Linked DNA regions of Drosophila melanogaster. The protein of the gene in region 4 interacts with the protein of the main gene of each other region in a pairwise test. Each region holds a gene or a part of one and is shown on either strand. Other genes may lie near its edges.

Evidence for each region.
Region 1: the proteins of CG5327 (region 4) and yellow-g interact in a two-hybrid assay, tested with the Drosophila melanogaster proteins (one large-scale study listed by BioGRID).
Region 2: the proteins of CG5327 (region 4) and CG15529 interact in a two-hybrid assay, tested with the Drosophila melanogaster proteins (one large-scale study listed by BioGRID).
Region 3: the proteins of CG5327 (region 4) and witty interact in a two-hybrid assay, tested with the Drosophila melanogaster proteins (one large-scale study listed by BioGRID).

Annotation. Positions count from the first base shown.
Region 1 is NT_037436.4:2,267,723-2,275,984, reverse strand, and holds yellow-g (yellow-g), read left to right. Parts: upstream 1-3,215; 5' UTR 3,216-3,293; coding exon 3,294-3,734; intron 3,735-4,845; coding exon 4,846-5,042; intron 5,043-5,476; coding exon 5,477-6,020; 3' UTR 6,021-6,104; downstream 6,105-8,262. Other genes in the region: CG32302 (uncharacterized protein), read right to left, coding at 6,204-7,145; obst-I (obstructor-I), read right to left, coding at 7,456-8,115.
Region 2 is NT_033777.3:30,148,255-30,155,234, forward strand, and holds CG15529 (uncharacterized protein), read left to right. Parts: upstream 1-3,804; 5' UTR 3,805-3,926; coding exon 3,927-4,140; intron 4,141-4,388; coding exon 4,389-4,765; 3' UTR 4,766-4,834; coding exon of another isoform or gene 4,835-4,965; 3' UTR 4,966-5,026; coding exon of another isoform or gene 5,027-5,351; 3' UTR 5,352-5,445; downstream 5,446-6,980. Other genes in the region: CG11498 (uncharacterized protein), read right to left, coding at 4,835-4,965, 5,027-5,351, 6,500-6,629, 6,805-6,980.
Region 3 is NT_033779.5:8,335,476-8,344,501, reverse strand, and holds witty (without maturity), read right to left. Parts: upstream 6,216-9,026; 5' UTR 6,063-6,215; coding exon 6,014-6,062; intron 5,923-6,013; coding exon 5,837-5,922; intron 4,319-5,836; coding exon 4,192-4,318; intron 3,639-4,191; coding exon 3,337-3,638; 3' UTR 2,446-3,336; downstream 1-2,445. Other genes in the region: CG14273 (uncharacterized protein), read right to left, coding at 192-430, 661-1,119, 1,513-1,573.
Region 4 is NT_033778.4:18,613,039-18,620,828, reverse strand, and holds CG5327 (uncharacterized protein), read right to left. Parts: upstream 4,842-7,790; 5' UTR 4,779-4,841; coding exon 4,692-4,778; intron 4,633-4,691; coding exon 4,468-4,632; intron 4,389-4,467; coding exon 4,191-4,388; 3' UTR 3,886-4,190; coding exon of another isoform or gene 3,707-3,885; 3' UTR 3,675-3,706; intron 3,630-3,674; coding exon of another isoform or gene 3,092-3,629; 3' UTR 2,512-3,091; downstream 1-2,511. Other genes in the region: Atg7 (Autophagy-related 7), read left to right, coding at 55-108; CG5493 (uncharacterized protein), read left to right, coding at 3,092-3,629, 3,707-3,885; CG5323 (uncharacterized protein), read right to left, coding at 5,071-5,259, 5,357-5,521, 5,582-5,668; mRpS28 (mitochondrial ribosomal protein S28), read left to right, coding at 5,886-6,164, 6,226-6,347, 6,405-6,588; CG10927 (uncharacterized protein), read right to left, coding at 6,620-7,702.

The DNA.
Region 1 (8,262 bases), on a different chromosome or scaffold from region 4:
GCCATTTCGCCATTTCCATCACCATAATTGCCCCTAAATAGGTTAAGGCCCTCGATACGGGCAGACAACCCGGAATCGCCCCAAACCAAAACCAACGTGTTTGGCATGTTAAATTGTCAGCCGAAACCCGCATTCCGGTTGGCTTTTTCCCCACCCACCAGAATGATTTATACGAGACAAGCGCACATATATACATATACATACATAGATGGAGCGCAAAAAATTGATGACAAGCATTTCCGGGCTGCTCATCTGACATAATTTATGTAAACACTTACCTCCCAGCAACAAAAAAGTTTTGGGGGGTAGATAAGAGACTGCCGGACGACTGCCGACTGACCCCCATTAGCTGGGGAAACTCCACTCACTGCTCGGCAAAACCATGGCCAGACATTCCGCAGGACGTTCTCCACACATTACATTGACAGTTCTTGTTTATGGCCCGTTAACGGGGCGTATGCGTCATCTGCAAAGTCGGGGGATTATGTGCGACTTCTTTAAAACGCGCTGCGCAACAAAGCAAAGTTCAACTTTTTATATGTGTGCCAATAAAAATCCAATTGAAAACGCAAATAAGCCAATAATTTGTCGTTCTTTTTTTTTGTCCCGCAGCAGCGGAAAAATGTACAAAAAAAAAATTGTCTGTGGTCACGTTTGATTTGTTTTGGTAAATGGGCCAAATGAGGTTTATGCTTTTTTAACTTTGTGCTGAGGAAAGCGATTTTCTTTACCGGGAATTTCACATAAATTCAGACCAACCTTTTCTGGAAATGCTGAACTCCAGGGTGGATTAATAACGTCATTTAAAATAGTATTTTTATGATAGTTATAGTTAACTAGCTATAGGTAATATATAGGTAATTTGATTTAAATTGGTTATCACAGAAAGTTTTCAGGGGCTTACAGTTGTAGTACAGGGTATTAAAAAGTCATCAGCTGCGCTTAAAGTTAATCTTCCCATAATTTTTTGGCCGCTCGCCTAATTTATGTGCTTTGCTTTCACTTTGCTGGCTTTCTTTCGTCGGCCAAGTTTTGTTTACGTCTGCTTAAAGTTGTCCACATTGGCTCTCAACCTTTTGCAATCGCCATAAATTATTGCCTTTATCCAGTGGCCCATCTTGGTTTAATTGTTTTGCAATAATTGAATTCATTGAATTCATCCGACAAATTGCTCTTGGCAACCCGCTGCTACTGTGTGTGCATATGAAACATTCACTTTTTGCACCCAATGTGCTATCAATGAGTTTACATTTGCCATTTAAACGCATCTGTCGATATCAAGGAGAAAATATTTCCAAATGAGTGCGGACAGTTCCCACAAATACACAAATACACTATCCATGGAATATGTTGCCAAATTTGTTGAGTTTCAATACACAATTTTATTGTGAATGGTCGATTTTGATATCTTAATCATTTAAAGTCTAGAGATGAATAAATGATTGCTGATTTCAAGCTTTGCCATAATCGTATCTGTAAGCTGTTTTTGCAGAGTAAAAGAGTCTTAGCATCGTCAAATTTCCATTTGCATACTTTGCTTTTATTTATGTTGGAGCACATAAATATTTATCCACAGATTCGGCCCGACTGACAATCCCGCCCACATATCACAGCACTTATCACATCCGCCTGCTTTTGGGCATGTGTGTGCCATAAATCGGGGGATTACGATCGTGGGAAGGGGGGTTTGGACCCATGGCAGTTTATTGAATCGGAATTCACAAAAATTCAATCTGCATGTAATTTGGCATTATAGACAGACCCTTCCCATTCCGCCATGCGGAAGGAGCAGCCAGTCTGACCCCCGATGAATGGGTTATCAAAATGTTGACCCGCCGATGGTCATTTGATGATGGGCAGCTGTAAGGAGATTAAACATTTTGTGATTTAATGTAAGCCCAGTGCTGTCCATAATTCGCTGCACGAGCTGTCCCAAACAAAAGACTCTTCAGCTGGACACCGACTCCTCCACCGCTTGCCCGAATGTGTCAAAGATTTTTTATTCGCCGCTTGGCGATATGTGGGTTTCTACGAGTTAACGGGGTCATCGACCACGTCGGGCGGATACACCTCTAATCCCCCCGCAATCAACGTGCAAAAAAGTCCACCAAAGTCCACAAAGAGACTTGAGCAGCCAACAAAAAAAAATATGGCAAAAAATGTAGTTCCAGGGGGCACCCGGATTTGAACCGGGGACCTCTCGATCTGCAGTCGAATGCTCTACCCCTGAGCTATACCCCCGACTTGAAAATGGCGAACTCAGAGCGCCTTTTAAAGTTCCCTGATGCGATAAAATTTCGCCTTTGCATTTATCTTAAAATAGAAATGAAATCAATTTGGAACAGAGTGACTGTTCCGCGAAACTGTGGGTGTGATTCACACGACGAATCTCCGGCAACTTGCAATCTTATCTGCGAGTAATGTGCCCCACCAACTCCCCGAACTTTCTCCTTTCGCCCGCCCCCTCCCCCAAAAGCAAACTGATAGCTAGCTGCAGACGGACGGACTGACAGATGTTTTTGTCATCCGAAAATAGCTGGTAACTCGAGCCAAGAAACTGAAACTTTCTCGGTCGCAGATATGCAGGTCACAGACGTCAGCATTGATATTGAACTTTTGGGCCACTTTGGCAAGTGTTTCGCAGCGACCTCTGAACTTTGCCTGCCAAGGGGTGAAACTTGCTACTCTGTCGGATGCACAAGAGCGATCGATGAGTGACAGAAGCTATTTCGCAACTTGAACCCATTTTATTGAACGGACTTGAGTGACTAATTAGCTGCCTATAAATGGCTATAATAGCACAAAGTTATACTCAGAAAATAAGAGCAATAAAAGGAGTAGAAGTGATTAATTAGACAGGCATAGATTGCCATAATAGAACAAACTGTTATCAAGACAATTAAAGTAAAAACCAGGGGAGTTAAATTTGATTTGGATGGCTTAGGAAGAATCGTGTAATCTAGATAGAGGGAAGGGGTTAAGTTTGCATTTCATTTCCGCATCGCTTTCCGCATTGCTTAGAAACCGAGCGGGCTTAGAGGTCTGGCCGACTTCCGGCGTGGGCCAGACGTGCTGGCTGGGTGGTAGCCACTCCAGACAGACACTTGTTCCCCCCCGTGTCAAGCAACCAACGACCTTGCCGCAACACGCTCCACATGCTGGCTGCATAAGTCGTTGGGTATTATATATAAATGCAGGTCTACCATCGCTCAGACAGTTTTATGTTCTGGCCAACGTGGTGAATCGAGTGCAGAAGCTCTGTTTGTGGAAAGCGCAGAAAGAAACGCCGAAAAATGTCGCAGCTGCAACTGCTGCTCCTCGTCGCTTCGGCCTCCGTGGTCCTCGCGGGATACAGCTCCTCCACCGACGAGTCGACGGACGCCTCCAACTCCATTGGCGGCACCAAGTGCGACAAGAACCCGCTGAACGAACTGACCTTCCAGCTCAGCGGCAGCAGCCTCCACTGGCCCTGCGAGTCCACCAAGAACATCTACGTCCAGTCCGGCCGCTATGTGCCCCGTAACGTGATCGTGACCCGGGCCCAACTGCAGCGGGACTCCGCCTTCGTGGCGCTGCCCAGGTACAAGCAGGGCGTGCCCTTCACTCTCGGCAAGGTCAATCTAAAGAAGGGCGAGTGCCTGACCAAGATCGCACCCTATCCCTGCTGGGCCATTCAGGAGGAGGGCAACTGCCAGGCGCTGCAGTCCGTCGTGGACATAGCCGTCGATCAGAATGTGAGTGCAATTAACGCCAGTATTGTTTGGACCATTTTTTTTTTGGGGGTCAGACAAGTTGTCTCGTCCAAACTGCCAGTTCTGCCTTTAATTACGGACTGCTCGTTGTTGGCCACCATGGAGGCATAGCACTTTAACCCACACCAAATGTTTAATTCATATTTGTATCGTGGGTGGATTACAGGGTAGCATTGAAATGCTCTTAGGGCTATTCACTTTTTTTTTCTAAAAATGATTTAGTTTATCTTCTGATATTGATATTGATGTGCAGTCGCAGTGTTAAATATTTGCTAGCCCTTACAAAGTCGATCAAAATCGGGAGTTTAGCTCCAGGGTATCGTTTTCGCATTAACCCCTTGCCGGACGCACTTTTTTAATTGGTTAGCCTCGCTGTCGACCAAATATTACTTTTTTAATCAAATAAACGGGGCCACAAAAGTGAAGAGCTCCAAATAAAATTCATGCCCGTCAATTGGCGGCAGCAATTTAAGGGTAGAATAAACGGATACGGAAACGCCGAAAAAGCTGTGGGGTAAATGGAATATTATAAAGGACAAGGACTGCAGCTGAAAAGTGACAAGCAAATGCAGTGAAAAGTTCTCGAAAATAATTTTGGAAATGCTGGGAACAGGCCATCCAGCCGTGTTTTGTGCATTTCGATTGCACTTCAGAAGTTCTCAGCTTTAATTTTAAATGACAGATGCATTCGCAGATATTACAATGATGCTATTAAATATTTACATGACCTACTTACGATTGCGAGCATAAGCTGCAACTTAATAATTTCCTTCAATTATTGTTGGCGTCGAATCGTTCTCATTTAAATGCCATTCCCGTTTAGCTGCATTTATGCAAATCATTTCTTTATTTTATTTACACAAAAGTCGACGAAACAATAACAAACGGCAAACAAACGAGGCGACTGTATTTATTTATTTGCGCAATTTTCCATTCAGTGCTTTTCGCTGATACTCATTTTATGGCCACATATTTGCGAATGTGGAATTTTTAACGCCGCCAACATTTCAATTAGCCGCCAAATGAAAACATTAACAACAATCAACACGAGCTGCAATTGATAGCAATTAATAATTGCCTTCTCCGTTCGCAGGGACTTCTGTGGGCCTTGGACGTGGGCATTGTCAACACCCTGGAGCAGCCCATCCGCAGATGCAGTCCCAAGATCGTGGCCATAAACACGGCCAACCACAAGGTGGTCAAGAGCATCGACCTCAGCGACCTGGTCACCTCCGAGAGTCGGCTGCAGTTCATCGTGGTCGACTACTCCAAGGACAACAAGCCATTCGTGTGAGTTCCATTGCCTATACTCTTTTATTACCCTTAACTTCATCTGTGAAATGAGTTGTACTTAATCACTTTTTGAAATACATCAACTATGAAATTAATACCACACATTACATTATTATTAACCATTATTACTAACCATTATTTATCAGCACAATGATATTCAGAGATTCATATTGCAGTCATAAAATATTCGTTGAAATCATCGAACTGAATCAAGAGTTTGGAGTACTTTTACCACACACTTTCAATCATGCTTTCAATCAGCGATCATTGAGCCAATCAAAAGGGCATTAGCCACTTTGAGGCTCATATCTTATCTGCTCAAGGTAGTTCTCAGAAGTGTGGCTCATCATATACCAAATAAAATCGATTTGTATTGCATACATGATATCTAATCTCATTCCACATTATATTTCCTTCACTTTCAACCATAGCTATGTGGCCGATGCTGGAGCACGTAGTATCCTGGTATACGACATCACCGGCAACAAGTCCTACCGCATCGTCCTGCCGAAGGCCACCGCCCCCACCAGCGATGTGCTGTACGTGGCGCTCACCTCGAAGCCGGACGGCACCTCCACCCTGTTCTTCAGCTACCTGAGCTCCCCCCGTCTGTACTCCATCAAGGGCGAGTACCTGCGCGTTGGCCAGGGAGCGGGCTCCATCATCGACGTGGGCCCCAAGCCCTATGGCAAACAGGCGGTGCTGCTGGGCGCCGACGGCGGCACCTCGCTCTTCTTCCGCTACAAGGGCGAGAACGACATTTACCTGTGGGACTCGGAGACCTGCTTCAAGGCCGCCAATCTGCAGGAGGTGCAGCGGGGAGGCGACTGCCGGCTGTCCACCCAAGTGCTCCCGGGTCACAAGCGATTCATGTGGGCGCTGGAGAGCAACTTCCACGATTTCATCTCGGATCGCACGGGCTGCAACGGAGCCTCGATCGTCCTGCATCCTGTGGTGCGGGAATGTGACGATTGAGTCCGTATCCCTCCACTTTCTTAGGCTTAAGATTCAAACTGATTTGTTGTCGTTACTGGGTCTCATTAAAATTTTGGTGAATATTTATAGTTATTTGTAGTTTATCTTAAAATGTTCAGAATGATTTCAATTTTTTAAATAGGCATTTACTTGAATCAATATTGGTACCATGAAAACAATTCATTACTCTGACTCTGATTGGCACTTTCGAGTCTCAGCATTGAAATACTGTCCCATTGGACAGCTGTAGATCTGCAGCTGGTGATCGATGCATATGCAGTACTCATCCTTGGTGGAGACATTGGGACAGCTGAGGATCTCAAAGTCCGAGCACTGATAGATCCTATCAGTCACGCAGGTCAGGATCTTAGGATCAATTTGGAAGCCGGCGGGACAGGTCATCACCTCCAGTTCTCCATCGACGCACTTGCAGTACTCGATCTCAGAGGTTCGGAAGGGGCATTGGTACCTATCGTTGTTCATGCACGTGTGGGACTCCATCGCCTGAATGCTCCTCATGCTCCTGGTGTCGGGCACACAGCTGTAGCTGTTGAAAACGAATCCCTCGTGGCACTTCATCATCAGCGGATACAGCGAATTGGCCGTGTCATTGACGCAGACGTAGAAGTACCGATTGTCGGGCGCCCATCCACCCACTTGTCCCGACCGACTGCAGGTGAACTGCTCCTGGATGCACTGCTCACTCTCCCGTGGCAGAACACAAGTGCCCGTGAGTGTGGAGTAGCCCGCTCCGTTGGAGCAGATGCGAGGGGTGTCCACACTCTGATCGCTGCACTCGTGGTACCGCCTACAGTCGTACGGATCCGGGAACAGGCCCGCCTGCTGACAGCTGAAGGGACCTCTCTTGGGCACCTGGCACTGCGACTGGAAGGTGCATCCGAAGGTACCCTCGTCGCTGCAATAGAAATTGTACTCCGATTGGCAGCCCAGCATCGAAATCGTTTCCCAGCTGCCGGTGGCATCGCGGATGCAGTAGCCCAAGGTGGTGCAGTTCATGCAAACGAAGCCGGGAATGCGCACATCCTGGCAGGGATTATCATTAGCCCACGCCGATCCCAACGCCAGAGCGAGCAGGATTAGACAAACCGGTACTGAAGACCTCATCTTGAAGACTGTTGGCTGGGTCATCTGCGGGACTAGCTTTTATAGCACCACCTAATCAGCCAGGCAAGTGTCTTTTTCTTAATTAAACAGATAAGCTTCTCTAGGTATTATCGATTTGATAAAGAACCAAAATTTTACGACGTAATAATAAATTTAGAAAACTTACTAAGCGTAGCTAAAATTGTAATTATTCGAAGAGTATCATCGAAACTGCGAACTGATAAATCCGGAATTCATTGAAAATAGTTTAATCAGTTTTAATCAGTTTTATTCCAAGATAGGCTAGCTACAATAACTATAATATGTTGGGTCAACAAGTTCCAGTAACGCACGCAAAGGAAATTAGATTGAAGATGGTTCCTACCGAGCATCTGAAATACTCAATATCACTGCCCTTTTCGCGACAATGATAGTACCCAGAGCAGTCAGCGGGATCACCAAACAATCCAAGCCGCTGGCACTTTCCAGACGAACTGGGCAACTCGTCGTCATCAGATCCTGTGTTCAGGCAAATCTGCAGCTCGTCATCAAAGGTAAAGCCCGTTGGACAGTAGTTAAGATGCCATTTGCCATCGATGCAGAGGCAGAAGACATCGCTTGCCGTGCTGTTAGGACATGGGGATGGAGTATAATCGTCCTGGCACTCAACGCTTCCCACCCGGCAGACCAATCGGTTGGCATCGAAGTAGGTTCCTTCAGGGCATTTCCAGATCTGAAGGTGCTTATCTTTGCACACGCAAAACTCGTCCATTTCTGTGGCCATCGGACATTTGCCGATTTGGTGATTGGTACAGCTGGTAGTGTCTGTAGATACGCAGGCTTGGATAGTTTCGTTAAAGTAGTAATCATCTGGACAGGATTCAGCAGCTGCATCCAATCTGAGCTCCAGATAACTGCCGTTCCCCAACCCTTTTCCCGTTTGAAACAACAGAAAAGTTAGGAGGCAGATAATCAGGCGAGATGAATCCATGTTGCAAACTTTCTAAGTAGACCTCTTCACACTCCGCCTTATATAGTACCTCACAACCAAACGCAGAATGTTTCGGTATAATTAATAGATAAACTGCAATGTTGTCACGAAAAAAACATTCTATGGAACATTTATGACCTAGTCACA
Region 2 (6,980 bases), on a different chromosome or scaffold from region 4:
TCGAAGTCGAAATGACTGAACCGAGTGCATCGGACATTTCTGCACTTTCGAATGCAATGCGTTCGAGCGCCGCGTTTGTCGGCGTTCGGAGGCTTAACCGGAAACTTTTAATTTAATTAATTTATACACAAAGGCGTAATCAAGAGCACTGGCGACTTGAGGAGGTCGAAGGACGGGCGGTAGGCGGTGGGCGGTGGGCGGTGGCATGCGAATTGCGGTTACAAGCGCCGTGTGCATCTGATAGATAGATAGATACACCCCACCTTCTCCACCTATGCCCGTGCCATACCATCCCATCCAAACCGAACCGAACGCTTTTGATGTTCACTCGCCCTGCTCGGTTCATTTCGCCATAGTTTGCTTTATTTCCCTGCCCATCGAGTGCAATTCCAAAAAATCCGCCATAAGTAGGAGGCTGGCATCCAAAAGATACAAGATGTATCGCTAATGCAAACTGCAGATGTCTTTTCTTTTCGCTACGCGGCAGTAAGCGGGCAACAGGTGAACTTTGTTTATTGATGCACTCGTTCCGCTAATTTGTTTGCTCGGGATGATTTAATGGGCTGCCCGCTGACAGGGTCAAGGGTGGGTGGACATGCGAATGGATATATGGAGGGATCCGCATGGATGTGCGGATGGATTGATATATGGCTGATGGTGATGACCGGAACTGGATGTTATCAATTAGCCAATCAACAGGACATGCGATACGTGCAACAGGTGAAGACTTTCCCCGCTGCGAAAAGCAAATATTTAGTTGCCTTTGCGGTTAGCATAAACATAATGCTGAGTCCGAATTTTATCGATTTTCTTTTTCGGCTCTCTAACATATGTTCTTTTTTCGTTTGTTTGCACTAGCACTATATATAAATTAAAGTAAACTTTGGGGGTAATTAGTGTAGTTACCTGGAATCGAAGTTGGATTTCCAGAGAGTGGTCCTAAAACTAGAAGGAGGAGCCACAGGTGGTTTTATATATCAGAGAAACAAACACCTTTGCGAATTCATAAATCCGCGATCCAATCACCTGTTGCGTCTTGATAATCTCTCTTTGGCTCTGTATTATTTTCTTATAGCCCGAGACGCTAATTCAATTGACACTCTTTCGGGCCTCGCTGGGTTGCCATAAAAACTGGATGGAAAACTTTTCCAAGCTTATTTAGTTTGGCATTTCATTGAGACGGAACCGCACAGACACAGGCACACACGCACCGGATTTGTTTATTAATTTTATTATTTATTTTTTATGGCATTCGAAACTGAATTTTAAAACTTGATACCGCTGCGATATGCGATTCTCCACTGCGGATATGCGAAATATCCACCGCGCTGGCCAACGCTCGACGGCAAAATGCGCGAATGAATCGCACGGATAGCAAGCCCAAGCAGTTGGGATTCGGGCTCGGGATTTCCGAATCGGGTAACCCAACTGGGGGACTTCGGGAAAAGTGGACGAGCCCCCGAGCTGCGGACTGCGAGCTGCGGACGCCTGTTGAGTGCTTGGAAAAGCGCGGAGAGTTGCAGTTCTACGGCTTGGCCTCCGTCCGGATATAATCGTAAACGAAATATGCTGGCTCTTTTCTTTATAGCTATGATTTGTGGCTGTCGCCGAGATTCCGCTCGCTATTTCTGGCCGCCGTTTGTGAACGTTCTTTACACTTTCAATGGCACTCAAATATAATTGAGACGTAAACCGCGATGGGCAATATGTATTTTCTTAGACGGACCAATAAAGAATCGACGGGTCTGCCAATCAATCGGCATCCGCTCATTGATATTGATGGCCCAGCTGGTTGATCCTTGGCTTCGGAGGGGTACTACTTTTCGATGCGGATGTGCCCAAGAGCACGCAACCCCCGAAATAATCGTTTGGCCAAAATCAATTTGTGCCATTGTGCTGCTTTATGGGCTGTCATCCCGGTATAGAACCAGAAGCCCCCATAAAACCCCCATCGATCCATCGGCTTGTTAGCAGTTCATCAAAATTGTTTGCCGCATATTAATTGCCCGATGTTGGGGCTGCTACTGTGTCAAGCGGAGTGCGATCGTATTGCTCGAGCATCGGGTATTATTAATGCCCCCATACTACAATATCATATCGGACCATCACCATCGACTGGGAATATCGTTTTATTGACATTTACGTGCACGTGACTGGCCTGCGAAGATGTTTGCCTTCTGTCTAGCGAATAGTCACTGCTTTAGATGTGCAAACAAAATCGCGATGCTTGCTGCAGCCAATCCGGCGTATACGTAATGAACTGAGCAGCACTCTTTTTGCCCGGATCTGTAAGTTTTAGAACCATATCTATGGGTCCACGTGCTGGCAATTTGCACGCCCATTTTGGGTTTTACAAGGAGATTTGAATGCAATCGATTCGGAGCGTAGTCAGCTCGCACAATTTATGACCGCACTTTAATTGCTTTTGAATTTTAAGAAATATTTAAATTGTGCGAGAGACAGGGAAGTGCGAGTGACAGAGACAGCGGGAGAGCTTCACCACAGCCGTTGGTAAGCTTACGGTAAAACTTCGAAAGGTTTGTGTCTCAGCTAATGCTTAACGCTTTAAATGATTATTTAATCTTTAACATGGATAATTTCCTTGTAAAAATAAAACGATTATTTTGGATGGAAAATGAGAAAAACTAGTTGATCAAAATAATCCATGTTTCCAAGTGGTTTTTTCAATATTTCTTGACTGAAAATGGTCGTAAAGTAAAAATAATTACTGTTTTGTGCAGCTAATTACCAATGCTTACGATCCCTGTCCCGTTTTTTCGAATTAAGAAAAAAAAATTTTTTTGTCAATTTTCGAATTTTTATAAGGGGTAACATCATCAAATTTTGCAAAAAATCGCAAAAATTTAAAGTTTCCAAATTTGAACACTAATCGATTGGGAAGTTAATTAGGAGTAAAATAAGATATGCCACTCCACTTTTGAACCATTATTTTCAAAGTTGTGTCCAAAAAACGCATTATTTTTTAACCAAAAACAGGGAAATCGAGCTTGGACCAAAAAGTCATATTTACAATTTATAGGATTTATAATTATAGAATTTTTTGAATGCCTATCAAATGGGACTTAACCAGCACTATCAACAGCTCATTAATAAAAACAACAGATCAGCAAAACAAACTCAGTTCTCAAACTTTTTAGCAGAGCGGGCAAACGGCTCAGATCCATATGTTGGCCACTCGTATCCATTCGGTCTCGGTTATGTAGAGCCGCAGAAATGCGATATGGGGAACCCCTCCCCACCAAAAATTGCAGGCACATTCAATGAATTCCACAGTCAGTCGGAAAAATGGTGGGGGGGGGGGGTATGGAAAATGCATGGGTGCTAAACGTTTAATAATTGTCGTTGCCCACATGTACACTGCAAAGAATTGTACACTCAAAAATAATCCTATTTTCGTTATGTACGTTTAAACTGCGTTCTTTCAGTGGATCTCTCTATATATAAAGACATTACAGATAATTAAATTGTGAGATATTAAGCACAGAAAGGTTGACTGCATTTCTCATTGTGTATAAGAACAGAGAGCTGATCTCCCCACTGCACTCGGAGTATCCAGTTACTCGCCGGGCTTCAAACTATCCGAGTTCCCGCGTTCTTGCCAATGTGAATTTTGTTTACCAGCCATATCCATATCTTATTTAAATATGAACATTTCTGCCGCCCCACAACCGAGCAGTAGACACATTTTAATTAATAAGCACTGCCAGACGAGACGGCTTCTGTTCTCGGGCTCTGAATTCTGGGTTCTGGTTCTGGTTCCTCGTCTGGTTCTGGTCACAAAGTAGTCAGTCTTCAGCGCAGCTCGATAGCGAAAGATGTTTGCCGGGAGCGGCGGTCTCAGTGCCACCGATCCATCTAATCCAAGGTCGCGGGAATAGGACTGCTCTACTGTGTCGTTTGGCGCCATGTGCTGCTGGTGTGCACGTGTCTACTGGACGGTTCTGCACAATCTCCTGGCTCGCATGATGGACAGCCTGATGGAAGTCAGATCGCCCACCTTCTGTAGCTGCTGCTTCGGTTATCAGCGGCAGGCCAGTCAGGAAGGTGACGTCGCAGAACGGGTTTCCAGCACCGACGACGATCCACAACAGCAGCCCCGTGAGGATTACGTCATTGTGGGTGAGTACGCATCGATCTCTCGGTTTCAAAACAAAGCCAAATCCCCAGAGTGACGGCATATAAACCAAAACAGAAAGCACGATACAGTTCGTAGAGCTAAATTTAACTCGAATTTAAGTTTAAATGATCGAAATTTGATAAATAATAGATAACTACAGAGGCATAAATTAATGTAGAGTAATACTCAATTAGAAGATTAAGCGGTAAATAGGTCCAATTACTAATACAACATTTTTAATTCCGCAAAGACGATGCCGATGTCAACTACGCGGAGATTGAGGAGAGGCATGTGGAAAAGGAGCAGTACTACTTCACAGTGGATCGTCCTACGGCGGAGCGAATGCTCCATGGACGAGAGGACGGGTCCTGCCTGGTTCGACCTTTCAAGGCAGCCGACCAGTGGATCCGTTACATAGTGAGCATCTGGGCGGCGGATCAGTACTATCACCTGTTCATAAGGCAAGTGGATAGGAGACAACGCTATGCCATTGGTCAGAAGAAGTCTCAGGAGCGCTGCTTCGGATCCCCCTCGGAAATCGTGGAGTTCTACACGGAGCATCCACTTCTCTGCACCAACAAGGTCCGGAGCCAGTGCGTCCAACTCCGTCCCATCAGTTACGCTTAGCTAGGGGTCAAATCTTTATTGCATAAGAGAGGGCAAGTATGTACAAATGGGGTTAGCTTAAGACGATGCTCAGGTGGCCACCACCGCCTTGAAGGCGCACTGGTTGTTCTGCATCAGGGCGGGCCAGAGGAAGGCTTTTATCAGATCCGATCGCCGGTCCGCCTGGGGATGCCGCTCGTGTTTCTCGGGCCTCAGGAAACCTGCATGGGATTTACGTAGGTGTAAGATTGTTAAACGATTAAAGAGTAGCTTAAAACCCACCCAGGTTGAAGTCCATGTCCAGGTAGTACGGCGCCTTCTGGTTGATCATCCTCCAGGCCAGTCGGACACAGGCACTGACGTAGTGCGTCAACGGGGGGCAGGACTCCAGGCAGGGGTACTCGTGCAGAGTAGATAGCACCTGGTTGAACACCGACCGCTCGATCTCGCCCAACGGGAAACTCTCGGCGGTCTCGAAGAGGTGCTGGCGAACGGATCTGTCCAGGGACAAGGTGGTCTCACTGCTGCTGTCCAAGGGGCAATTCAGGACTCGCCGAACTTCCAGGACCTTTCGCTCCCGCATTCCGTGGCACAGGCGGAAGGAGAGCTACACAAGTACCAATAAGTTAAGAAAATTATCAATTAGATGACTATCTAATTAGACTTACTTATGAATGAATAAATAGTTTTTCGAAAATCATAAATATGTGACTTATTATTATCAACTAATCTTGATGGTACCATTTCCCTGCAAAAGTGTCGTTCATCTGAGATCGAAAGTGATTCAAATCCCAAGCGCCTACGTAATTTTCTGACACCCTGGGGGCTCCACTTTCCCTCACATTTTCACTGCACCAACGCCTAATCATCCTCTAGTGCGAATTCGATCTTGCAAAATTGATATTTTGCAATCGCAGTTTGTGGTCCGACAGGATTTAAAGCATCCAGAGCCCACGGGCTTGGCTGGAAATAATTGATGGCCAAGCACTTGAAAATTGAAAGTAATCTTCGCTGGATGAATTGGTCTCACAGTTTGAGAGTCATTGTGCTGTGCTAAATTTCCAAACGAAAGCAGTGCAAGCAGTTCGTACGCTGAGCTACTTCAAGATCAAGTTTATCAGCTTTTGACCTGCCAAATGCCAATTGGAAGAGTTCGTCCCAATTTTAAAACAATCGCTATTTTTTCACTTTTGACAAGGGCTTTATTCTATTTGAATAGCCTTAAGAATTGTATAGAAAAATATCTATTAGCATTGTAAAGTTAAAGTGTTATTGACATGGAATTGGCACGCTGAAAGATTATGAACGCCCATAATAAATTGAGGCTATTCATCACAAATAACTCCGTACTGTCTTGACAAGTGAAAACGAAGGAGATAATTATAAAAGTAAAACTATGTTGCTAGCGATTTATATTCCAAAGACAAGTGAATGATTGACTGGCAATAATTTCTCCTCATGATTTAATCTCAAATTCTTTCTCAGCCACCTAAAGTTTAGCAACGAAATTAAATACAACGTAATACAAATAATGGTAGCGAACACACCCAATAGAAAACTTACTTATCTCCCAAAAAAAAAAAAGTGAAAACAAGGCCGACTCGCAATTGGCACTAATTTCTCCCGATCGAGGTAATCTCGAAATACGTTCGGCCTCTTTAACAATCCATTATTGAGTGTTCGGACATATCTACTGTATCTACAATCTACAACCCATCCCAAAACACATACGAATGCTAGGTACTTCAGACTCACCACGATCATGGAGAAGAGTATCTTCCCCTTGAGGCTGTGCGCGTGTTTTATCTGGGGAAGACTGTCCAACGCCTCCAAGGCGTCCGCTCGGTTCTCGACGTAGAGATTCCGATAGAGCGACACCATTTCGCTGTGGAGATAGAGAAATGGAATCACAAATCAGAGTGTGGGATGCGGGCAGGTGAGAGTTGGATGCGGTCGCGATCTGATTTGACTGAGTTTGTAATGTGGGTGTTGCACCTTATTGGAACTCGGTCAAGTGTAAGAATTAGGTTTTGTATGTATTCTTTATGTATGTTTTTTACCTGCTGTCATCGCTTCCAGAGTCGTCCGAGTGATATCCATCGCTGCAGCTGCTCGTGCTAGCGCCGCCTGGGGGAGTGGTCTTTCCAATGGAGTGGGAGGAGCCCGGAGGACCTCCTTCAGGGCCCATCATGTGGAGCACCACCTCGCAGCCGCGGGAGAAGTTCATCAGCAGACC
Region 3 (9,026 bases), on a different chromosome or scaffold from region 4:
CCAGACAATAGACGTTTCGAGTGGTAAGCAAGGTATAAATAGACACATCATGTGCCCGCGCTAAATCGGCAAGCGCTCCCAAAAAACAATGAACTCAGACACCAAAGTCGAAATCGAAGTTGTGGCGGCCATATATCTTGTATTTCTATATTTCATATCGATCGAGCCCCCACGCCGTGTCTGCTGATTTTCTACCATATCGGATGGCGGCGGGTCATAAATGCCATTAGCATGAGTCCAGCCAGCAGTGTCCAGAATTGGACATTGTTTCTACTGGATGATCCGATGGCCATGGGCTGGTTGCATCCATCGTCCTGGCACAGCTGGCATCCGGCCACCGTCCAGTTCTCGAAGAGACCATCGCATCCACCCGTCTGATTGCTCCTCCTGGCGGTGGTGCAGCCCCTCTTGGTGATCGTCGATTCGTTAACTGTGGAGCAGGTGGGTTTGAATAAGGTTTGAATAAATCATAATAATAATAATATTTTCCTATCTATATACAAATCATTACATCTAGTGCATTTCAGTTTGCACTGTGTGCTATTTTCGCATGACTCAGTCGTAGATAACTTATCGCCATGGGTGGGGGAGCATCACACCAGGCGGCGTTTTTATGATTTTTATGATGCACACCCATGGGAATGGGCGGCAGTTGCTTACGTTGGAGCCTCACTGTGTAACAGAAGGCAATTGGCACATCGAGATCGACCTGTCGTGCATTCGATCTCCGCCTGCGTCGCTCCTCATCCTCCTCATCTTCGTCCTCTTCCTCCTCTTCGCTTACAACTTCTTCCGCTGCTGATCCATCTGCTCCTCCAGCTGCTCCTCCGGTTGCTCCTCCAGCTGCTCCTCCGCCTACAGCAGCTGTTCCGGATCCTGCTGGCATGATGCCTATGGTCGCCGATTCTTCGCTTTCAGAGTCCTCTTCCTCTTCGCTGGCATCGGAGGAGGAGAAGGAGCCAGGAGCACTATTTGTATTATTCGTTTCAGCTGGTGATGGAGAAGGAGCAGGATTTGGTTTCGTGCTGGAGTTGCCGCCCATCAGTGGACTCTCACACACTTCCATTTCACTTAGCTGCGTATTTTCATCGCAGTCTTCACATTTGTAGCAACGCAAAGCTGGGCAAAGAAGAGATTTTAAATAAATATTAAGTAAAAATAAAAATATGCCACCTTGCTCATAATATCATCTTTAATATGGATCTTTAAATCATTTTAATATTTTTGTTAGTTTTATGCCAATAACATAACTATATGCATAATATGAAATGCAAAATAAGGTTTAATTCACAGTGGAAATTCACAAAAGGAAACATGAACCTATGACCTTAAAAGGGCACCCGTGAGGGTGCGCCTTATCAGCTTCACCTTATCAGCTGGATTACCCAAGCAATAAGCGCACCCCTCTGTTTGGTTCAACGTTGCGTATGCGCAACTTTTTGTAACTCGCTTCGGGGTCAATCAATTAGCATACGGTGTAGGGCTTACACCACTCGATGATTTATGACATACCTGAAACACATGGGCCGCAGCCAACGAAAGCCACTAGAAGTAGAAGCCACAAGGAGCGCATTCCGGGCAGGTTTATGATGGGGTGGTGAATGGGGAGTTTAAAACTTTCAATTTGCCAAACGTCAAAGTGTCAGAGCATGCAACTTGCCCAGATTGAGCAGCCTTCTATGGATATATTTTCTATAAATTTATTTATTTTTTCACCGCTCCAACGTCGTCGTGTCAGCTACCGAAAATTCAAATTGAACTGGCACAAAGAACCTTCCGGAGTCTGCTGTTTGCTTCATCAAAAACTGAATTTCATAGCCATAAATGTGGGTTTGGTGGACTTGTGGGGGGTTGACACATGATTTGCGGGGCTGGTGAAACATGTAGTTCACGGGAAGCAGGAAAAAAAAACTACATACGACATACGATAGCATCGGCCCAGACTTTCAAATTAAATGCGAGAGACAGGGAAAGCATGATGGAGCGACAGAGGTCGAGCTATTGATAAGCGGGCGTAGGAGGCGGGAAAAACTGAAGCATCTTTTACATGAGTAATGGGAAAATTATCTTTGATTGCGGAGCACAAGTCCAAAAAGGAGCAAAAGACAACAAAAACAAAATATTTGATATGGGCTGGGAGTTTTTTTTTTGTCACTCGAAGAGTTGGATACCGTTGAAAAGATAGAAAGTAAGTTAGAAAGTAAGAGGTATTACGAATATCGCGCATACGCTCTGTTGGCCTAACGCAACAAACAAATATAAAAATAAATATAATACAATAATTTCATGGCAATCAATATTCTTGTTATGAATTGAATATACTTTTTATTGCATTGATACTTTTTTCCAAGCTCCAGTAACCCAGATACCCTTTATCTTGATGCCAAGACTGTTATAAAAGTCATCGTTATCGGCTATTAAAAAATTCGCACTCCAAAATCTTTTATACTGTCATACAGCATTTATTGTGTGCTCGGAATGTTCAATTTAGTTTCCATTTCAAAAAACGCTTACAAACTAAGCAGAACTGAGAGCTCGACGCGTCGCAAAAAACATATGGTACTATATAGTTGTTGTTTGTTTTTAGCCGATTTGAAGCTCACGTAATAATTGTTGCATTGCTTTTCGTTGACATTTTCATCTAATTGCACATTTACTAACATTTATTGCATTTGTTTCACGTGATTCCTAAATTCGCGTCTTGCATTAAGTTGATTGTTTTTGCTTGCGGCTTTTACAGTCAATTTACGTACTATCAAATTTTCAATATTCTAACACGAATTCATTGACTAGGACATATAAGCACTTTGGAATCATTTAGCACTTTTCAATTTACCTAAGAAATTATATGAGAATTAAAGGCAATTGGTGAATTCCTATGCACATCGCTCCAAGCCATTAAAACTAACAATCTGAATAGTAACATAATAAAGCTGAACAACAAGAGCTAATGGCATAGAATGCCATTTTTATATTGATATATAGGATGTATGGTTAACACATATCCCTACTCTTTATTTTGCCGGTATTTATTTTGAAAATCGAAAGTTTCATATTTGTTTTGAATCAAAGCGAACTTTTCCGTGTGTGTTTTCCTTCCTCTTGTATGTACTGTATCGGTGTATCGTGTGTGTGTCTGTGCTGTGCTTACATTTCTAGGGTTAAGGGAGTAGGGGGTTAATGGGGTTAAGTAGTGTGTGCCATTGAAGCAACCTGTACGAATCAGCGACATTGCACTCAAATATTTACAAAGTAATCAAAACCTAAATGCAACCATCATGCCACCACTCGTTTCACGGTTATCTGTCCATATCCCTCACACACCATCCAACTGGCTTAGCAGCCCAATTGGAGCGCAATCATGGCCAGAATCGTAGCCAAGGAAAGCGTTACGGCCGCCGCACCATTGCAGCGATGCGATTTACAGATGCCGCAGAAGAACGCATCCTCTGCGGAGATTTCGTCATCCTCCTCCGCATCCTGGCCGTGACCCTTCCTTCGCTTGTTTTGGTTGCGATTCCGCTGCTCCCGCTCCTCGGGGCTCGGGATGCGAAGCTTGGTACGCAGGATCTCGCAGGCATCCGAGTCGCCGGTGTCCAGTTGGCAGAAGCGCGCCGTCACCACTTTCCTTGTATCAGCTGCGAAAAATAGCAAGATATCGAAATTTAAGAACTAGCTCAACTTAGTTGGGTTTACTTAAATTCACTTGATTTAAATATTTATATACAATACATCTATATATACAACTATATTTAAAAGGTTAAAATCTTAATTGAAAATTCAAGTGATTTGCTCATAAATTAAAATGACTGTAGTACAAGTAAAGTTCTCGTAATTTAATTTAAGTATTGATGTTTTAGAATCCTTAATATTGCCAAAGGAATGTAACAAATAAACTTAATTGCTATTGTCATAAAAAGTAAGTGCTTTGAATAAACAATCTGTGTCATGTGAACTATAAAATTTTTCGTTATCTTTAGGGCTTCTTTTATTGACATTCTACAATAGTCGCACTGCAAATTGCAGCTTTATTTCTAACCATTTGATAAGAATCGCTTATTAGCCATAAGAATGAGTCAAGTTGCTGTAAAAATGTGATACCATTACTCAAGTGAATTTAAATCTATGTTAAAAATATTAAATTATATTTGAATATATTTGATATTTTATACTTCCTAAAAAAATACTCACGGTCTTTGGCCACAACTTTTTGGCAATTCATGAGCGGACTTTTGTTGGCGCCATTATCGAAATATGAGAACTTATTCAAGTCAAATAGCCAGGTGTCCAGCGATTTCATTTTGTCCAAAGTGCATTCCTAAAAAATATTATCAGCAATTTAATCCGGGGAACAACGAATGCCTATTGTTTGGTTAATCAAAGTATTAATTGCCATTGCACTCGATGCGTAAGTTATTAATCTTATCGACGAATCATTCGGCCATATCGTTAACGATGCGTTTTCCGAATGGCCTTGGTATCCAGACCAAGACCACTTGAACTCTATTTGTTTAGCCCAGATAAGAAGTGAAATAAAACGATTCTTGGAAAGGCTTAGGCGTTAAGGTATCAGCTTTTTTTTACCGAGAAAGGGGAAAACCCCATTTAAGTTTTCAGCGATAAAGTGGATAAACACCTTAAGTGCTCCATTTAATAGGAATAACTAAATGACATTGTCACATTTGTTGTTCTTTTTGCGATTTAAAATCTTCAATACGATCAGACACATAAATTGAGGGGATTATTTTGGCGCATCTAATTTGATTTTGAATTATTTATTTTGACACAAAATTGAGTTTCGCTCACAATACAAGATAAGATTTCCGTAATTAATAATTCAGGCCATTAATAATCAGAACATTTTGCGCCATTTGGCTGTTTTGTGGCTGATTATTCACATCTCTGATTTGACAAATGAAATAAATTTTAAGAATTTACTTGACGTCTCTAAAAACAAATTTGGCTATCATTTCCAGCAATGATAAGAAAGTCGCACGGGACTTTCAGCGAGTTTGACACTGAGTTTTTTTTCGATGTTCTAGGAAAGTTATTGTTTTTGTGGAAATAAATCAATTAACAGTTGTAGTTTTACCAACTTGATTTAGTGATTCATTAACTTAAGAAAAGAATAAAAAAAGTTATTTTCCGATGTCAAAAACGTTTAACTAAGCAGAAGAAAATTCTAGACCACTTAAGAGTCTGGAAACTTCTTTTTCATATCCCAAAAGCTTTGAAACTATGTTCTCTTGATATTTATTTTTTAATGGTTTTAATTAAAGTGCTTGGCAGTAGTTTTGGTAGCATTATAAGCCAGTTGAGCTCAGGTGTCGCCACTTCAAATCAAAGTAATTCTACCAACGGGCAACTAGACACCTACAAGAACCTGTCAGCTTGAAATTTACGTTGTTGGACTTTGGTTGAAAGTTGAAAGTATTTCAACTGTTTGGCACGTGGCCGGGTTAAGTAGCAGTCAACTAAAAACGGCGATAGATGCCAGTAACAGAAAATTCAGTTAGCCTGAAAAAAAGGGGAAAAGTGGGTTGCCACCACAAGAGGACGACGACGGAGCACGTTTCCGTTTCCGCTTTTGTGGGCTCCATTTCCAACCGTTGCTTTGTACTATTTTTTTTTGTATTTTGCTAGTGCAAATTTATGTGCCATATAGCTTTAACTTGCGACCGTCTGGGCCAAAGCTTTTGACTAAGAACTAAGGTCGATTTGAATGCGATTAGGTTTGAAAAGGTTGAACCAACTTGACCTGGCAACCCAGTGGCCCGCCAACAGGTCACAACAGGCCAGTAATCAATCAATCCTAGCAATCTGCTTTCCAACTCACCTCCGCCACTATGCTGGAATTCGAGCCCAGATCGGCGCAACTGGGATTATCACTGGAATCGCAGACATAACACCTGATGGCTGCGCCTGTGGGATATGCAATATACATTTGTACATTTTATCATTTTAGGAATTTCTGAATTTACAAGCCCAATAACCGCAGGCAACACACACACACCATTTGAAACGAGGGCCAATAGCGCCAGTGGCAATAGGATTCCCGGCATGATTCACACAATAATTTCCTTTCTTTGATTTATTCCCTTTTCGTTGGCAGATTTTTCAAATATTTTCTGGCACTCGCGCGCTGTGATTTTCTCGAATTTTCCGCTCCAAGACGTTCGGGAGGTTCTGTCGCTGCCGTTGGCCAAAGGCAAACTGAAATTGCTGGCCAACTTGGCGAAGGCAATTGCCAGCAAAAGGACGACGACTACGTCATCGTTTTTGGACCGATCCGAATCGAAACGAAACGAAACGAAGCGAAGCTGCTCGTCCTGCGTCCTTCGTCCTGGGATCCCTTTTGCCTGCGTGGGTGCGTCGCTTGAGTGGCTCCTGATTCCGACAGTAATAACGTCTTGGCCGCCCCACATGGCAGCAAAGGAAAATTTATTTAAATTGCAAAATGCGAAATGCACCAGCCCAAACCAAAGATGGCAACTACTCGTCAAAGGAACAGCAGCAACGCGACGGAAAAAATGCAATTTCCTTGTGGCCAAACACTTTTGGCCTCTGCACCGCGGCTCAACACCAAAGCCAATAAGATATCATGGCGAAAAAATTTGAATAATAAAGTTTTATTTCAAAAAATAACTGAGTAAATAGAAAATATTGGATAGCCATATGCACAGGGAGAAACTGTTCCTCTTAATTTGCAATGATTTTCTTTAAAGTTATGCATCACAAAAATGTTCTTATTAAGTTAAGAAAAGTGGTGAAAGGTATTTGTAATTGAAATGCTTGCTACTTTTCATATTCGATGAAACTTTTTAAGTGCCTTTCAAATTATAACAACACTATCCTTTTAATAACTTCAGTTCGTAGTTTGCCACTGAAGCTCAAATTAAATTATGTATTCATAAAAAAAAGCGCGAAATGAGTAGTTTTGCAGCTCCAGCGAGATTCTGCTAGAATATGAGTGCCTGGAGTGCAGCGAAAACGTGGGAAAACGAACTGAATGAAAAGGATGCAGGAGGGTGGTGGGGGGTAGATGCCCAGAGGAGATTGGGTGGCAGCAACAAAGCGCAGCAATTAGTGGCATCCAAGAGCGAAAACTCATCGGCGTTCCTGCAATGCGGCTTCCCTATTCTTTTCCCTGACCTCGTCGCATGGCCACAGGACGACATCCCGGGCGTGGGCGCACATTTATCGCCAGCTCACGGTTGTCCTCACATACAGGAAACCGCATCGCCACCAGAAACGCCCCACTCCACCCCGTATCCGAAACTGAAACCGAATCTCAGCTCTTTCATATCTCCCGCGGGGCAGAGCAGCTGGCAAGCGTTTCCATTTATCATAAACAATGCAGACCGTGATTGGTGTAGGTCGCGACCCTGGCCCCAAAAGCCCACCAAAAGGGTTAGCTAATGGTGCCGCTTGTGTTTCTGGTGGATAATAAAGGAATAGTCGCGTGGCTGCAGGTGGTTGGGGAATTGCCTTCAGGCACTCACTTTGCAGCAGTTTAAAAGCAATCTTTAAAGCTTCAGTGGATCTTTAAGGAATATTTACTTGTTTTTTTAACCAAACCATAAGCTTATCAGATAATTGGGGCCCTTTCTCTAGAAAAACAACTAATAAAAATCTAATTCAAGCAAACAACGCAAGACAAAACTTGTGGAATGTTAAAAGTTTCAATTGTAGCAACTTTATTAAAAGAGCTAAGTCGAAGTAATCCACTCCTGCAACTCCCAGCGGAATTTCGAATTAGCGCCAATTGCAATTATCCTTTGGAGAAGCGTAGTTTCACTACTTTTCGCTGGCCGTGGGCCATAAAATCGCAGCCTGTTGCACAGGGAAAGGTAGAATAAAAACGAAATCAGAACCAGACCAATTTCACTACCAAATAAGGTTGCTAGTGGCAAGGACACATTCTGAGCTTTCTGGACAATGACGATGATGGCATCCGAGTGTTGATGTCATAATTCCCGAGGTGTTCGGTGAATTCTCCGCATCGCATGTTGCCACTTCATTTGCTAACAGCAACAGGACATAATTAAAACTGTTTATGCACGCTTCCGTTTCCGGTTGGCATTTCATTTCACTGGTTTCCCTAGAATGTAAGGCATTCATATGCTTTCGACTTTTACAACTTGACACATTTTCGTTGGAACTCGACTTCGTTTTACAACCTTTTTATCTTTCCATCGAACCGTGCAAATCGGAAAATGTACTTTTTCTCTCATTCTTTTTTTCCAGTCTGTTTTACCATGGTCATAAATTTTGTTTTGCCAAAATAGTAAAAAAACGCAACAACATTTTTTTGGGGTCAAAACTTTGTGCGCTGTTGTGGATTTCCACCCACAAAATGACCTTTAATTAGTTGAAATTTTCGCTTGGCATGCTAATTGAAAAACTTTTTGCTTCTCCACCGCATTGATGAAATATTTACGGCTGTGTAGTAAAACTGTGTCAGACAATCCTATCCAGACGTACCCAGTTGAAGCTATATAGTCACAAAAGAGAACCCGAGTCGGTAAACGTTGGACTTCTGTGTTGACTCTAGTGTAATTAAGCTTTATTACGTATACGCACCGTTCCACGCACTTTGCCGCCGGTTCCCGTTGCCAATTAGTTTGTTCAACTGCCAAGGACGTTGGATAACCAATTCCAGTTAGCTGCGGTGCTACCAATAAACATAAAACTTTATCGTTGCCTATATCTAGCAGCTTCTGGGCAAATCAATCGCTTGCAAATACACTTGCAAGTGGTGGAGAGTAGGAACATAAAAAGAACTGCTTGCACAATTGCAAAAGAATCCTACACACAGTTCGTGGGGATTATTCTGCACTACAACATATGTGTGTGCTACCAGTGAAGGTATTTTATGGCTGATTGGGGAATTCAACCGGCTTAAACTCAAATATAAATAAATTTCAATTGACGTGGAAAACTACTTTTCTGTAGTAGCATGTAATATATAGGTAAATGTATTTGAAAGGATAAAGCTCTTTAAAATGGTTTAATTTAGGTAAACC
Region 4 (7,790 bases):
TTCCTGTGTTTAATCTAATGGAGATATTTAAAAATTATTCATATTTTTGCACAGATTATCGATTTTGATGATGAAGAATTTGACATGTCCGATAGCGACGAGGATTAGGTTCCACAAAATTGGTCAAGTTTTATCTTCAAAGCAAAATATCTTAAATATGAAATTCAGCTTATTGTGGCTTTAATTTTCTGCAGCATTTATAGTTCAATGTCTATACCAAAAATGTGTGTACTTCAATGCTTTTATTCTATCTAGTCGTTAAGCAAATTGTGAATCATTCAAATGAAATTGATGTGAAAATTAGGCATAAGAAAAATGTGAATTTACTATTGAAAATTGTAATAATAAAAGTGTGAATTTACTATTGAAAATTGTTATAATAAAAGTGCTTAAGTACGGGAACAAATGTATTTCCGCCAATTTACAAGTCGCAGCCTTTAAGCTTTGTTTGTTTGTACGAAACGTGTTTCTGCTGATAAGAGCACTCATTTATAGGCGAAAATATTATTCTGATCTGAGAATTCCCATTTTTGTGGTTGACAAATACCAAAATATTGTTTTCAATTCCCGATCGGTCATTGAATATGTTATTAGCTGCATTATTCAAGGCGAAAACACGCAAACAAAGATGAATGTTCGTATAAAATTGTTTTGGGAATATGCAAATGATTTACATAGTGGGCCAGGTATGCGAAAAGAATAGTTCAAAGTTGAATAAACCTGGTTAGAAAGCCACGAACTAATCGCATATGTAAATTTGCTTATTATGTCTCGGTCAAAGTAGATGACATCCTAGAAATACGCTCACAAATGTTATACTTTAAAGAGATATGTAAAGTTAAAACTATATTTTTAGTCCAGGAATATAAAATGTTTAAATTTTCATTAAATGGTTGTATGAAAATTTACCACTTTAATTTATCAAAGTGGTTTTAGGCCAAGTGTTTTGAGCTGAACAAATATTGGCAACAAGTACTTGACACACAATTCGTGTGCGTTTCCAAGCGATTTGATGATAAAGCCTTTCATCATTTTGACCCCAGGCCAAAATGGAGCTAGAGAATTCCATCCACTGGCTATGACAAAAGGCTCCCGGCCATTTCTCTTGGCCAGAAAAACAAACAAGAAAGAAGATCGACCGAGAAAGAAGAAAAAAAAAACGGCACGACTCCATAATTAATAGTTGGATTGGGGGAGAAATGTATTGAAATATATCTGGCCGCTCAACCTCGGATCGACATGGCGGTGGTGGTAGTGGTGGTAGCATAAATTTCGGGCCTGGCCAACTGAGCAAACAACAACAAGCCAATTTGGAGCGAGTGAAGCCGCTTTGAGTTTGGCTCGCGGCCCCAAAAAGCGCTCAAAATGTGCTCAAAATGCCATTCGAGCTGCGATGCCTCTGCCAGCGTCGCCTTTTGTCACTCGAATTGCGTTTTGAGTGGTTAACCGGGGTTTGCTGGCCAAGATCTTCATAAATTGGTGAAAGATACCCAAAACGGGCACATAAGCTCGGCGACGCGCATCCAAGTGGCAACTACCCAGTGAAAAGTCGAAAAAGTGCAATACCAAGTCCTGAAATTAAAAGTGTTTTTAAAAAGTGAATTTCAAGTTCATAAAAAATTATTCAGTTGCCATAGCTAAGAGAGAAATTCCAAGAAGTCAAACAAAATGGTAAGTCCTTTATCCTTCAAATCCCTTTCCCTGCTGAAATTGTACGAAAATCAGAAAATCAAACTTAAATCGTAGTTTGTTGAACTGTTTCGAAAATTGGCAACTGCTTTTCACCAATTTTCCAAGCTATTTGTTCGCATAATATTTACGCAAATGGCAGTTCGCAGCTTTTAGTTTTTGCTTTGACTTTGCTATTGGCCTTAACCTGTTGCGAAAGTTGGCTGCCAGCTTGGCAGTTTATGCTTTTTGGCCATTGCAAAACATTTTTCAAATACCTTGATGTGGCACCAAGGGGAAAAGATTTAACAACATTGCATGGGGATCGTAAAAAAGTTATTACCTTTAATGCAAGCTCAAGTGTTTTATTTATTTCGAGTTTTCACCTGAAGTTATATAATTAAATTTATGAGTTCAATTCATATCGTGTTAGGAGAAACAATGACAGAATCATTTTCTTTGTTTAACATTTTAATGGAGAAAGTAAGGTCAGTGTGTTAGTCACTAATTAACTTCCTGAGTAACAAAGACACGACTGATCTGCTGACAAATGGCAGGCAATTGAGAGAAATCTGTAACGAACCTGAAAGTAGGCAATACTTTCTCGAAACAAAAAGTATCTCAAAGTGTTTCGGTTAACTATAATCCAAAACTAGAGAAAGTCGCGGTTCTTTTTTTCAAATGAATTTGCGGGAAAATCCCGGCTGGTAAGACCCGCAGATCTTGAAAGCAAATTCGTCAGCATCCAGATTCAACCAGCTATCAGTTATCAATTGGTATATTAACGTATCAGTGACAATGCCCGTATCGCCCAAATATTTTTTATTGTCGGCTCCAGAGTATATTGTGGAATAAATTTGTTTTTTATTTGCCAAACGATCCCATTAGATCGCCGTTAACCTCTTGTCTCAAATTCAGGCACATCTGTTGAGCCCCTCCTGGCAACATTCGATCTATCATCATCTACTGAGAAATACGTGTATTATATAGCCGAGGGTATTGGTAAAATCTGCTATTGATAAGTTGGATGGACGGTTATCGCCGGCGACTTCTTGTTTTTGTTATTGTTTTGGACTTGCGCCTCCGATTTACGTCGGATCCGAGCTGATTATGCAGCCTGGACAGGAGAGCGAAATCTCCAGAATTCAGTTCGAATTTTGCGATCCGAGGTGGAGCGTGTGCGGTTAGTCGAAGCAATTCAATCAATTGTAACAGCAACGAATCGGAATATTCATATATATATATACCAATAGCTATTATCAGCGATCATCGACTTTACAACGTAATTCATCTAAATCAATTGAGCAGTGATCTTTATAGACTTTATAGGTAGTTTTCCACGCCCTTCAGCCTCAACTGATGCACCACCACTCTAACTTCCGCTTCCCTTTTCGCAACCTAGGTCAATCAGAGCAAGCCCAAAATGGCCCTGTCCAAGATCGACACCGAGATCGAGCAGGTTGACCAGGAGAAGTACCTGCGTCAGGCCACTAGCTACTATCAGCCGCTGGAGAAACCCCTGAAATACGGACCGGAGGTGAATTCCCTATCGGACTTGGTGGCCGCCCTTCACCGGGAATTCGAGTCGAACTATGTTAACATCGAGATGGTGAATCACCTTATGCTCAGCTACAAGTCCAATCCGCGGGAGTGGCGCAAATATGCCAAGTTCGATCGTTACACCTACACGCGGAATCTCGTGGATGCTGGCAATGGAAAGTTCAATCTGCTGATTCTGTGCTGGGGCGAAGGACACGGCTCCTCGGTGCACGACCATGCCGATTCCCATTGCTTCATGAAGATGCTGAAGGGTGATCTGCGCGAGAAGCGCTACGAGTATCCCAATAGATCTGCCAGGGACAACGGCCGGTCCCATCATCCCGATGGCGAGATCGATAGCCGAGAGCTGGTGGAGATTGGGGAGACACCAATCGCCGTCAATGATGTGGCCTACATAAATGGTGAGAAAATTAGAAACTTTAAAAGTGGGGTATTCCTATACTTACTGTTTTTTTTTTTTTCGTTTTGTTATCCATAGACAATCTGGGTCTGCATCGCGTGGAGAACCCCAGCCATTCGGATACCTCTGTCTCCCTTCACCTATACTGTCCACCCTTCGACACGTGCTCCGTGTTCCAGGACAACCTGAAGAAGACCACCGCCAAGGTCACCTTCTGGAGCAAATACGGCGTGAGGACGAAGCAGAACGAGCAGTAGATCCATCAAGATCCTAAAAATATAGCCTCTCGTATTGTTGCATAATACTAAGAATCTTTATTACTAGATATTTAATGAGCTAGGGCCTAAGAAGATCCGGGAGCTGAGCTATCAAACATGGCGAGCAAGGGCCACGTTGGCGCTGATAAGTTCCCATTCCAATCCATTGGCTATCCCGGATCACAGCAGCGATTAGTGTACTTTAAGTGTTAGCTGTACCAAAAATATTCAATAAATAAGTGAACCATTGACAACTGCTTGAATGTGCTTTTTTAAATGTCACCAGATCCTGAATTGCATCCCGGTTAGACATCCATGTTGCGTGATCTTTTCGGCGGACCCCTGTCCAGTGTTTGCTTGATCGACTTGAGCAGACCAGGTATCAGGTTTATGTACTTGTCCACACAGTTGTTCGTGCAACTCTCAAACATGTGCTGGGATCGGGACATGTCCCGGTCACTCGGATTGCTGGGCATCTGAGACCGCGCATCGCTGTTGCAATCCTGCGGGTTGGCAATCGTATTAAAAATAGGATATATCAATCCAATATTAAGCATTTATAATTATAGTTTAAGCTCCTACCCTAACGCAGTTTTGAAGTCTATTCTGGAATTGGCCCAGCTCGTGCTGCAGGAAATCCTGGGCATCCATCAGGGGACCGGCGCACTTCTCGATGCAGTTCTGTACGCTCTCCAGCGTCCCTCGATCATCGTCGCAGCAGCGGGCGGCACAGCGGTGCATCGTGGACTTGGAAACAACGTTCTTACCAGAAATTCATAGTAGGCAAGTGGAGGCCACACACTCACCTGCATTCTGCGCAAGTGGGTGCGGTACATGTCCTCGATCATTTCGCTAATGGCGCCCTCCAAGCGCTTTTTTTGTTGCTCCACCATTTCAATTTAAAATTTGAACAATTTCGAAAGAACAAAACAAAATGTTGAATTGACAGTTTTCGGTGTACAAAGTATGTTTATTTTTTTTACTGATGGCAAAACTTGACATTCTTCCGAAGATTGTTAGCACAACAGTTGTTGGTTGCTGCTTAAGACTTTCAACAATTAATAAGGTAATTTTTGTTCTATATTCTTAAAAGCAAAATTTGAAATGACTCCAGAGATGGGACTCATTGCACGGTTTTAAAATAAACGAATTCAACAACTAATTATGTAGTAAATGCAGGTTGAGTTAGACTTGGGGAATGCTCTCGGGTCCCTTGGAGAGCACAGCCTTCATGGTCTTCATCATGCCGGGAATGAGGCCCACATGCTTGTCCACACACTGGATGGCACAGCGCTCGAATTGGTCGGTGTACTTGGCTATCTGATCCTCATTGGGACTGGGCGGCATTTTCACCTTCACATCGTCGTTGCATTGCTGCGGAAGAGGAGAATGTGAAATATGAGCGTTGCCTAATAATATTCTATTATTCTTAGAGCCACCAGGGCAAAAAGTTGGTGCAATGGATACTAACCATGACGCAACGTTGAAGTCTGCCCTGGAACTCGCCCAATTCGTGTTGAACGTAGTTCTGTGCCCTCGTCATGGGCGCGGAGCATCGATCCACACATCTCTGGACACTGTCCACGCTGGAGGTTCCATCCTGGCAGCACTTGGCCGCACACAAGTGCATCTCATTCTGGAATTTCGTGAAAAGCAAGTCAGTTTCGGGATATCCCCTAAAGCGAACTCCACTTACCTGCATTTTGCGCAGGTGCGTCTTGTCCATGTCGTCGATCATCTCCGTTACCGCGGCCTCGATTTTCTGGCGCTGTTGCTGGATCATTTTGCTTGTTTAATTGTTAATTACCTACGTCTTACAACCGATTTCGTAATATCAAAATAAATGCCGGCAGCGTGTTTTTTGTAATATTCGATTAGTGATGAGCCGACGCAGCTGCTAATAATCGATTAGCAGTCTATCGGTGCCGCTCTTCTTCTTTGGTTTTCCACTTGGTTTTGGTTTTCTTGTGGATATTTTTGAGCAATATTAAATTAAAACCATGTCGCTCTTGCAAAAACTAAGCAGATCTGGTGTACCGATGGCTTCATTAACCTGTCGTTCCCGAATGCCAATGGTCATTCGACTTATCAGCGGTAACACAGAAAAACCGGCGGAGGAATCTACTCCCGCAGTGAATACGGAAACGGCGGAGATTGGCAGCAGCAAGGGAGGATTCGCCCGTGCCTTCGACAAGTACACGGCACCAGCCACGCCTCCACAGCTGCCGGAAGACAACCAGACCTTCGCCTCCCTGCTGCGCAACTCCAAATTAATTGATGTGGGTACATTATTTAAGTAATCCCATTGTTTATGTAATAACTTGTTGATTTCTGGAGCAGCTGGACAACGCCGAGGGCAAGGTGGTCAGTGGCAAGATCTTTCATGTGGTGGGCGATGATCTCTACATAGACTTTGGTTGGAAGTTTCACTGCGTCTGCAGTCGTCCAACACGCAATGCCAGGTGAGTTCAATATAATTTCCTGTCTCTTTATCCAATAAACCGCCTTTCCTACTTCAGCGACTATGTGCGAGGAGCCCGTGTTCGACTGCGCATCAAGGACTTGGAGTTGTCCACCAAGTTTCTGGGTTCGTCCAAGGATATTACCATTCTAGAGGCAGATTGCCATTTGCTGGGTCTCCTGTCCACGCCCACCCGCCAGTCGACGGCCAAAACAACGCCGAAAATCGAAGATATCCTATAAATCCTTTATTAAAACCAAGGTTTGTTAAACGTTACGTCAAGTCTTCATCCTCCTTGGTTGTGAACTGGAACACTTCGTAGTGATGGTTGAGTTCCCGCACCGAATGCAGTTGGAATCTCGTGGCTAGAGCTCCGTTTTCAGAGTTCTTAACGAAAAATACTCTTTTCGCCCTGCTATGTACCAGGGCCATGGAGCACATAAGGCAGGGTTCCTGCAGCAGATAGATATCGTAGCCGGTGCACAGATAGGGTCCGAATTTGGCCAGGTTATCTGCTCCTTGAACTGCGTCCACTTCTTTGCATTCTCTCGACTTTTCCGCTCCGAATGTCAGGTCTTTGTAGTCTTCATTGTTCATCAGGTAATCGTAGTAGGCTTTAGGAATACCCCGCAGAGTGGTATCCTTCTTGAAATCTTCGGTGAATGTAACCTCCGTTTTTGTGGCGCCTCCTTCTTGACTGCGAGCCACAAAATCGACGAGCATCATGCAGCAGTGCTCGTGCGGCCTACAAACTTCACCAGTTCCAGCAATGGACACAATGCTGGGTTGTCGCGGATCCACGCAGATGCCCACCGGACGATTGGCATTGACATCCCGCGAGAGCCTCACAAGCAATTGCCCGATCCTTTTGTGAAATGTGCGTTGTGCGGAGCTAAAGTTGCTGCCATTCCTCAGTGACTCCGAGTAGTGATTAGGGTGAAACTTGCAGGGCCAGTGCTTAAGGGTCTTCTCGTACTGCACCCGCAGTCGGGGCATCCGTTCCGGCACCTCCACCACCCGGACTCCCTGGCACAAAGCACGGAGCACGTGCTCCGAAAAGGCAAACTGTTCAAGGTGTTGTTCCAGGCTTTGAGACACTCCGATCTCTGAGCTGGGACATATGAGCACGCTGCGATCCTGGACGCGCTTTAGGTGTTGAAAGTGGGGCAATTTCTGTGAGAGCTCCTGGATGACCGCCTGGAGCTGCTGTTTCGTCTCCAACTCGCAACTGTGCGCCTTGATGAGCGCAATATCCTCGTCGAACTCATCGGAGAGGATGGCCCGGATCCCAGTTATGTCTTCATCCAGATTGGGTGATTTTCGAGCACGTTTGTTTGGTGGCGCGGATATATCCATTATTTACTTAATTCTTCAATTAGAAGAATGCCAATTGGAATCGATTGAAATAGGTTATCGATAAGTGCCAAGCGCTGGCGTTGAAACA